Linked DNA regions of Coturnix japonica. The protein of the gene in region 2 interacts with the protein of the main gene of each other region in a pairwise test. Links are inferred from orthologs where the notes say so. Each region holds a gene or a part of one and is shown on either strand. Other genes may lie near its edges. The genes, in order: MPHOSPH6 and EXOSC10.

Region 1 (4,602 bases), on a different chromosome or scaffold from region 2:
GTCAAACTCTGGATTATTTAACCTTGAGAATGTCTCTGAAAAAAACAAAGCTGTACTCCCAGTCTGCTACTATTTTTCTGTTATTTTAATTGGTAATATCTCCTGGATAAGAAAAACAATTAGATTCTGTTTGCACTACAAAACAATCCAATGGTAATAAGAGATACAAAAGTAGAAGCCTTACTCTTTCTCCTTTAGGTCTGGTAAATCAAGGTACCAGTGTTCATCACTAATTATCTTCTTTTCCTCTTCATCGAGTTGTTTTTTAGTTTGCGAGTCCAAACCCCTTTGCATGAACTAAAAAAGAGAGAGACAACTTCAGGCTTTTTGAGTGTGTTCTGGCAGGCAATGATTACACGACAACAATTATCCATTACATACTATTTAACAGTTGATATAAGCCATACATGCTTTTTGTGATCTCTGTGTTTGGGAGAACAGACAGAGCAGAAGCAAACAACTGCAGGTCACAACCATCCACTGCAAGTCAACAGCCACATCCATACTTGGATACAAAGACATCCCTATGAGCTGAGATCTTCCCTTGGGGCTACAGAAAGCACCTCAATAACTGCACCTGGCAGCAGGGCACCATTCACACAGATACAATTTGCAGCAAGATGCTACCAGCACTGCAAATACACACTGATGTACAAAAATTGCTTTGTGGCAACCAAAACAAACCTGTATGTGCAACAGCACAGAGGAATCCTGTATCAATGAATCTTACCTCTCTCATATAAGCAGCATCATTTCCGTGCTTAGCTAAGCCTGCAGGCTGACAGATAACACCACTGGGGCTCATCTGTCTCTTGAACATTAGCAGAGACTTGGACACAGTTTTGTTCAGTTAGAGTGGACTTGGCTTGGGGACAGAACCCAAGAAGCCATCACAGAACATTTGTCTCCCACAGAAACCCTGCGTTACTGAGCTTATTTGGAGCACACAGGTGATACGTGCGTGCAATATACATCACATAAACACCCACACCTTCTCATCTTTACAGAAAGCCCAGTCAAAATAAAACAAACCCCATCATAAAAGCCACCACAGTGCGTCTCATTTTCCATTATATTTTTATTTGCATTCATTTGCACGAGATCTTTAATGAAAGAAAAAATTGACTTCTGTTTTCGAGTCAACCCAAAATATGTCAAAGCTTTCCAATTAAAATTACAGTATCTGCTTGAGGAAAATGAGGGAATCTATCATATGGAAAACCATATTGCTCAAGGAGATTGGTTAGCCAGTCAGAAACCTCAACAGGAGAAATTCTGCTGCAAGCACACAATTAAATAATCATTTCACATTACATTTTAAAGATTATGTTCCTAAAGATTACTACAAGAATAAATAGATTAAAAATGTGATTGTATTTATCTGTAAACACATGTGGATAAATTAAAAATACACCAGTGGGGGTAAATGTAGGGTATGTACTGCAGCAATCAGGTGGCTATTTGGCTGGATCAAGCAGTACAAAAACTAGTTTACAATCATATGAACTCTGTTATTCTAAAAGCAGGAGCCATCTTTCGACATCAAGAGGTGAGCACATACACTGCATCTCCATGAAAAGGTCTGACCATGTACCACCTTTGAGTGCCCACTGAATTGTGATGATCCATCTCATCCACACCCGCAGAGGCAACTGCTAAAAGATTATTAAAGCATTTGTCAACAGCAAGATCTGCAGAAGGGAAGAGCTGAGTACAAGATCTGTGTAGAGCCTTCTCAAAACCTACCCACCCCTTTTAAGCTGGTTGCTGCTGCCTGGACTCTAAACCTGAAAATGTCAAGGCACCACATTCATGGACTGGTTTTCCACTGCCTGAAGGAAACCTAGGAATCTGCCTTTTGAAATCCATGGAGGATTTAAAAAGTGGTAAAAAAACAGCTGCACAAGTTTCACCTAAAAAGTGATTATTGCATAAAAATGAGAAAAAGATCAGCAGTGCCACAATCCAGAGTCTTGCCCTCTCCTGCATATCTGCTTAACTAAGACCAACATTCAATTGCTCTTGAGAGAGAAACATAGAATGGCCTGGGTTGAAAATAATCACAACGATTGTCTCATTTCAACCCCCCTGCTGTGTGCAGGGTCACCAACCACCAGACCAGGCTGCCCAGTGCCACATCCAGCCTGGCCAAGTTATCAAAATATAATGGGATATTGCTTCAAAGGAAAGTCAACTAAGCCAACAAAGGTAAGCCAACTTTTACTAGATGCTTTTTAGCAATCAATATTCAGCCATCACAGGAGGATGAGGCACTGAATTACACAACAAGAATCATAACCTGTAAATCCACCTGAGCTGAGATGCACAGCATGGTGGGCTGGCCAAGGGAGCACCAACAGCATATGTGTATCTATGGGAAGGGGGGGAGGCTGAAAGGTGGTCCAAAGAACATAAAGACAAGGGACACAACAAACCAACCCTCTCTGGGGCTGCTCACTGTAGAAGACAGAACTAAATACACGTGCTATACCAAACCAGCAGCCTTGTGCCGAGGTGTAAGAAGTGGAAATACCCCGAACCCAGCACCGAGACGGCACCAGATACCAGCGGAGGGCCAGGCCCGCCCCATCCGCTCCCAGCAGCCCCGCAGCCCGGCCCGGCCTCCCTTTACCTCCCGTTCCCGCAGACCGGCCTTCATGCCTCCTATTTGCCACCCCGCACCTTACCTTCATGCGGAGGAGGTTCTTGGACAGCTTTGTTTTCACCTCCCCAGCCATGGCGGCCGCGGCGCTGCCCGTAGGCCGCGCTGGATCCCCGTGCTCGCGTAGCGCCGCGGCCGCGCACGTTGGGGGAGGAGAGGGAGGAGGAGGAGGCGAGGCTCCACCCTCCACGTTCCGGGTCGGCTGCTGGGGGCACAGCCCATAACATGGGGCTGAGGGAGGAGAGGGAGAAGGATACATTGGGGATGTGTGAAGGATGAGCTGGATGGAGCCGATATATAACGGGGTGGGGGGAGAGTGCGCTCATGAGCAGGGGTGTAAATTGGGATGGAGTGATGAACTAATAGAAGAAACCTAAGTTGTTTGTTTGTTTGTTTGTTTGTATGTATGTGTGCTTGTGCATGCTGTAGTCTGATGATTTTATCCATATTTTTCAGCTGTTTATAACTGTAAAAGGAAAAGGTTACAAAATCCTTCTCATATTGGAGACTGCTTGATTTATTCAGCTATCTTTAAATAAAAAATAATAAATAAATAAGCATTGACTTCTGCTTGACTGTGTAGTCAGATATGGTTGTAACTGGAGAGCAAATAAATCTCAGGATACTGCAAAAACCTTCACAGCTCTGTTGTTCCTGGGTGGGTGGTATTGGAGTTAACACTAAGCAATGCCATCTTTAGGCTGCCGGGCTGGGCCCTGTTGTCCTGATAGGGAAGTCTTGATGAGGAGCTGCCAGCTGACACCCAGCCACCAGCAAGCACCACAATTTCTGTATATATCCTCATAAATCAGATTTCTGATGCCTGGTTTGACATTCGGCGCATAAACCAGGCAGTAAAGTAATACGAGTGAGAGTTCAGTGTTCAAAACTGTAATGAGCCAGTGTGCTTGGAAAGACAATCTGGGAAGGAAAGTTCCCGTCTATGCGAGATGTAGGTCAGAGTGAGCTTGAAGAGCTTCTGAAGATTTATGCTCTAATGGAGTCCACGAAGATGTACAATGAAGGGCAAAGTGTTACTGCAGTGGGAAAGAGAGAGGAGGAGTAATCTGTATCCAAGCATCTTTACTACACAGTTAAGCTCAGAGGGTAAATATAACCACAAATACAAATGAACCACGTCCACTTCAAGGGCAATCCATAACGCTGGGTAGAAGTATTTAATTTCCACATAAGCAAAGCAGCTTCATCTCCAGGCTCTGAAAATGAGCTGAAGGTGCTCGTGAAGTTCAAGGCCCAAATGAGAAGGTCTGTGTGACTGCGGGATCTGTCCCGCTTCATTTGACCCCCCCTGTTCATCATTAAGAGTTTACAACCCTTTCCAACAGAAAGTAAGCTGGGAAAAAGTTCGCAGTTTTCCAAACACAAATGTGCATCAAAGCGGGTTTGTATCTTAGCAAACAAACGCCTTTAGTTTGTATGACAGCACAGTGCCTCCATTGGCTCCCCATTTTAGCCTTGTTTTCTGTTTTCCATGCGCTCTAATAGTGCATTTGCTTTTTGTTGATCATTGCACGTCGGAGCCTTGCATTTAATTGTGTGGCCTTCAATGTCACTCAGGGCATTTTCTGAGCAGTTTCACTTAATTTATAGTCCGGAAATGTACTTCAAATGATTCTTTCTAAATACATTACTCTGCACCCATCAGCACGTCTCCAGCTACTGTGCCTGGTTTGTGTGGTGCCCTTTGTGAAAGCTTTTCCCCATTCCTTGCACATCACCCTCTCCTGCCTGCGTGGCAACATTTCATCAGTCCCTGCAGCCCCTTTCTTCAGCAGCCACTGCATATATCAGCAGCGTGATACCTTTGATGTGATACCACCAACTCTTTAATCTTTGGGAGCTGAGCCTAATAATTTAAAACGGAGTGCTGGGAGCTGAGAGTGAATGGTGCGAGGGGGTTTTGAACTCTAATGCAAATT
Region 2 (4,446 bases):
GTATGGAAGCCTTACCACATGTTGCATATGAGCTCGTACATTTTGCAGGCTTATGGCAGAGATCCCTTAGACAGACCGTTGTAAGAATGTAAGTTGTGATAAGGAGTAATGGGAATGTAGAGCATTAAAGCTGCAGTCAACCTGAACACTTAGTGTTGGAAGTAAGGCATATGTTGGTCACTGATGTCAGTTACAGTGAAGATCTCCATATTCTGCAGCAAACATAAATGATTTAGTTGCACATTTGTCATTTGAGAGAGATAACATCAGACTATGCTTAAGGAAACAGTCCTTAGTTTTAAGCATTTAAGCTGTGTGTGGGGGGATCACCTGCCAACTTTTCCTATACTATTTCCTATACTATGTCTTCTAAACGGAGCCTTGGCAGTCTCAGTCCTTCTCAGCACTGCCTTTGTGAAGCTGCACTGAGCATCACCACCCTATTTTTGTTTCCTTTTAGGTGTCCTTTCTGGTAACAGAAGATCCCAAAGTATCCACAGCCTTTTTATTCTGGAGGCTTTTGCGCTCCAAACTTGCTCTTCTACAAACACAAACTGAACGTTGGACTGATATCCAGCCTTTGTCAAATAGTTTGAACTGTAAATGGAAAGAGTTATTGTATATTAACAAGTTGGTTTAAGCCAATTTATAGCTGCTATTGGAAAAAAAACACGAGCTGTCTGGAACACAATAGCTGATTTGGGTTTCCAAGGACAGTGAAGACTGATTGTACTGCAGGTGTCAATGGTTCCACTGGGTCTTTGGGGAACTGGTAAATATAACTATATACGGGTTTGGAATTACTTTGCAAAGTAAATGAATCATTTGCAGATGGATTGCTGCCCTGAATGGAATATTGGAGCAGATGTTAAGAATTTCAGACCTTCATCTGACCATAACCAGGTGCCTCTGTGCAGATCGAGCAGTGCAATGAGACACCGCTGGGGAGCTCTGTGTGCAGATTAAAAGGGGAACGTGATAACTGGCATAGGAGGCAAAAGGGGGAGAGCTGGTCATAACTTGAAATGAAATAATGGTTATAATAATAACATGGGAGTGGAGGAAGTCGTGAATTATGAATAAAAACAATGCACAAAATACAACAGAGTAGCCATGTTTAGATGCCATGTTGTATTTGGATATTTTTGTGCCAATAAATTACAGCAAAACGTGGCACCGTGGGGCTGCGTTCTTGTTTGTTCCTAAGTAGCTCTTAGGAAGAGACAGGGATGCAGGTAACAGGTTGCAGGAGGGGTCGCTTGGGGTGGGTGGGGGTCGCATGCAGCGCGGTCCGCCAGCCGCTAGGGGGCGCTATGTATAAGGCTTGGTACTGTCTACCCGCCCGCATGCGTTGCCCATCTCCCATCTTCCTCTCTCGGCCCTGAAGCTCTCGCGAGAGTTTCCGTGCGTCTGGTGGCTGAGGGGACAAGATGGCCGCCGCCGTGGCTGAGGGGAACGGCTGCGCGGTAGCGGGGAGCAGCGCGGCCCAAGGGGGCAAAGGGGGGCAGGGGGGACCGCCCGTGGAAACGGAAAGAGACGGGAGCACGGCCACGGTGCTGCCGGGATTCGACGACGTGGACGCCTTCGTGAAGGTGCGGGGCGGGGTGAAGCGGGAAGGGGCCGTGCACTACAGCTCCCGCCGGGCCGTGCGGTCACTCGGTGCCGTGATGTGGTTGGCATTGAAATAAAGCCCAGATCTGCGTCTGTGCTGATAAACCTCTCTCTAAACGTAAATCCTGGCACGACAGGCGTAGTGTTGTTATCGCTTTACTCTGTTTAACCTGATGAGATGGTGTGAATGAAACAACTGCCAACTTAGTCAATACCTGAAGGGAACTTACTCCCAGGAGGGGAGTAAACTCTTGGAAAGGGCTGATAATAGCAGGACACGGGGAAATGGTTTTAAGTTAAAAGAGGGAAGATTTAGGTTGGATGTTAGGGGGAAGTTCTTCACTAGGAGAGTGGTTAGGCCCTGGAACAGGCTGCCCAGGGAGGTTGTGGATGCCCCGTCCTTGGAGGTGTTCAAGACCAGGTTGGACGGGGCCCTGGGCAACCTGATCTAGTAAAGGTGTATGTTTGGTGGCCCTGCCAGGCAGGGGGGTTGGAACTACATGATCCTTGAGGTCCCTTCCAACCCGGGTCATTCTGTGATTCTGTGTGTGATTCTGTGATTAGTCGTGTTAAAAAACACCCAAACAAACCAAGGCCTTGCGATGTGTTGGATGTAACCGCACTGTTCGCACACACACAGGGATGGAGGTTTGTCAGCACAGTGTGCAGCAGGGCAGGCAATGCACTAACACGGTGTTCTCACACAGCACGCCCTCGGCACCATGGTGGCCACCACGAAGGCATCCAGCGGGCTGCCCCAGCCTGGCGATGAGTACGACTTCTACCGCAGCTTCCCTGGGTTCAGGGCGTACTGTGCAGCTCAGGGACATCGGCTGCTGCAATGGTAAGGAGACATCACAGCCCCGGCAACTGCCAGGCCCAGACAGGGGATTCTATGGAATCTCCAGGCTGGTTGGTGGTAAAAAGGATGTTTTAGGTCATGTGTCGAATTTTAGCTGAGTTGCCTTTAATGGTGTTGATGGGAACAAACTGCGAGTGGGGACTGTTGTGAAATGCTCTGGGAACAGCCGTTTAGTATCTAAAGGGGTATATAAGAAAAAAGGGGACAGATCTGATAGAACAAGAGGAATGAGTTTCAAACTAAAAGAGGGGAGATTTAGACTGGATATAACAAGGTTTTTTACTGTGAGAGTAATGAGGTGGTGATGCTCCATCTGTGGACACACTCAAAGTCAGGCTGGAAGGGGCTCTGAGCACCTGATGGAGCTGTGGGTGTCCTTGTTCATTGCAAGAAAGTTAGACTTGATGCCTTTAAAGGTCCCTCCCAAACAGTTCTGTGATCTAGAAAGTTGTTTCATAAAGAAATCAGTCCTATTAGTACTAAATAACTCTTAGCACCATGTAGGTGTTTCATACATTTGCTTTTTGTATGTTATTATAAGTATTACATTTGATCTGCTTTCAAACTTCTGCGATGTAGAAAGTTGAGAAGAATTGCATGGTTCAGTGTTCAGTTAATTGTTATTATTGTTGTTATTATTATTGTTTAAATCCATAATAACTGTGCTGTTCTCTTGCAAGCATGAGCAGGGTGATGCAGTACCACGGCTGCCGCAGCCACATGAAAGACCGCAGCAAAGTCACGGAGCTGGAAGATAAGTTTGATATGCTGGTTGACTCCAATGACATCATTCTTGAAAGAGTGGTGAGCAAATCATTCCTTAACATTACTTGTATAAGGTATTCAGGTACCACAAGTGCTTTTTGTTAAAATAATTCTACTGTTAGTGCTTTTGCAGTTATGTTTAATGTTTAGCATAGTACAGTAACTGAGCGGGTGTTTGATTTTCATTTTTGTTGTTTTTTTCCTGGAATTTAGGGTATTTTACTGGATGAAGCAGCAGGAGTGAACAAAAACCAGCAGCCTGTCCTTCCTGCTGGGTTGCAGGTGCCACAGACGATCGTTTCCAGCTGGAACCGCAAGGTGAGGCTGCTGCTCTTTTTCCCAGCACTGGTACTGCAGTTTGCCAGTGGATTTTAGTAGTTAAATGTTCCCTTGGACTTTTTCATATGTCCTCACTCACCTCCTTTTTCTCGCAGTACTGGGGTCAGTGAATGGAAGATGCTCTGGATGTCTGTTAAGTCATGTTGGTTTGCTTTCTTTTTAATAGGCAGGAGAATACCACAAAAGATCTAAGTCTGAAACCTTCCGACTGCTCCATGCCAAGAATATCTCTCGCCCACAGCTTAAGTTTCGAGAAAAGATTGACAATTCCAACACTCCCTTTGTACCTAAGCTTTTTATCAAGCCAAATGCTTTGAAACCATTGGCTGAAGGTAAGTTTTTTTGTTGTTGATGGGTAATCAGTTGAGAGTGTTTGACACAAATCTGTCCTGACAATCCAGAAGAGGAAATATTGACTGTAAAAGCAAGCAGGAGCAGATGTTGACTATTTGGATGAGATTGCTCTGTGACTCCATTGTTTATGTATGTGCAGTGTAAGATTTGGTCAGCATACAACATCTTTTTGTTGGTATACAGTAACTAATCTGTTCCCAACAGATATTCTGCTGCTTCTCTTTGCCACCATTGAATTTCCATGAGAGTCCCCCTGGCAGGAGGAGTTTTGTTGCTTGGTCTGTAAGTCTGCTTGACTTTACAGATACCTTTTCCTAATAAGTTAGAAAAGGAGATACACGATTAGATCTGCCTTTATCAAAGCTGCCAGTGAAACATCTCATCTCAGCAAGGTGTCACATTTCTGCTGCTGATTCACCTCGAGTCTGCACTGATGTGGATGTAGTTTAGAGCACGGGAATGAATGAAAGTGTTTTCTGAAGATTTCCCAGTCTCTTTCCAAGCTCTCGAGCAGA

What was found.
Region 1: the proteins of EXOSC10 (region 2) and MPHOSPH6 interact in binary tests that used the Homo sapiens proteins (3 or more experiments, as listed by UniProt). The link is inferred for Coturnix japonica from reciprocal best matches to the Homo sapiens genes EXOSC10 and MPHOSPH6.

The regions. Positions count from the first base shown.
Region 1 is NC_029526.1:14,006,899-14,011,500, forward strand, and holds the start of MPHOSPH6 (M-phase phosphoprotein 6), read right to left. Parts: upstream 2,841-4,602; 5' UTR 2,739-2,840; coding exon 2,688-2,738; intron 298-2,687; coding exon 185-297; intron 1-184. UniProt on the Homo sapiens protein: RNA-binding protein that associates with the RNA exosome complex. Involved in the 3'-processing of the 7S pre-RNA to the mature 5.8S rRNA and play a role in recruiting the RNA exosome complex to pre-rRNA; this function may include C1D.
Region 2 is NC_029536.1:3,559,560-3,564,005, reverse strand, and holds the start of EXOSC10 (exosome component 10), read left to right. Parts: upstream 1-1,405; 5' UTR 1,406-1,430; coding exon 1,431-1,592; intron 1,593-2,318; coding exon 2,319-2,455; intron 2,456-3,153; coding exon 3,154-3,277; intron 3,278-3,451; coding exon 3,452-3,556; intron 3,557-3,743; coding exon 3,744-3,909; intron 3,910-4,446. Other genes in the region: serine/threonine-protein kinase mTOR, read left to right, coding at 461-476. UniProt on the Homo sapiens protein: Catalytic component of the RNA exosome complex which has 3'->5' exoribonuclease activity and participates in a multitude of cellular RNA processing and degradation events.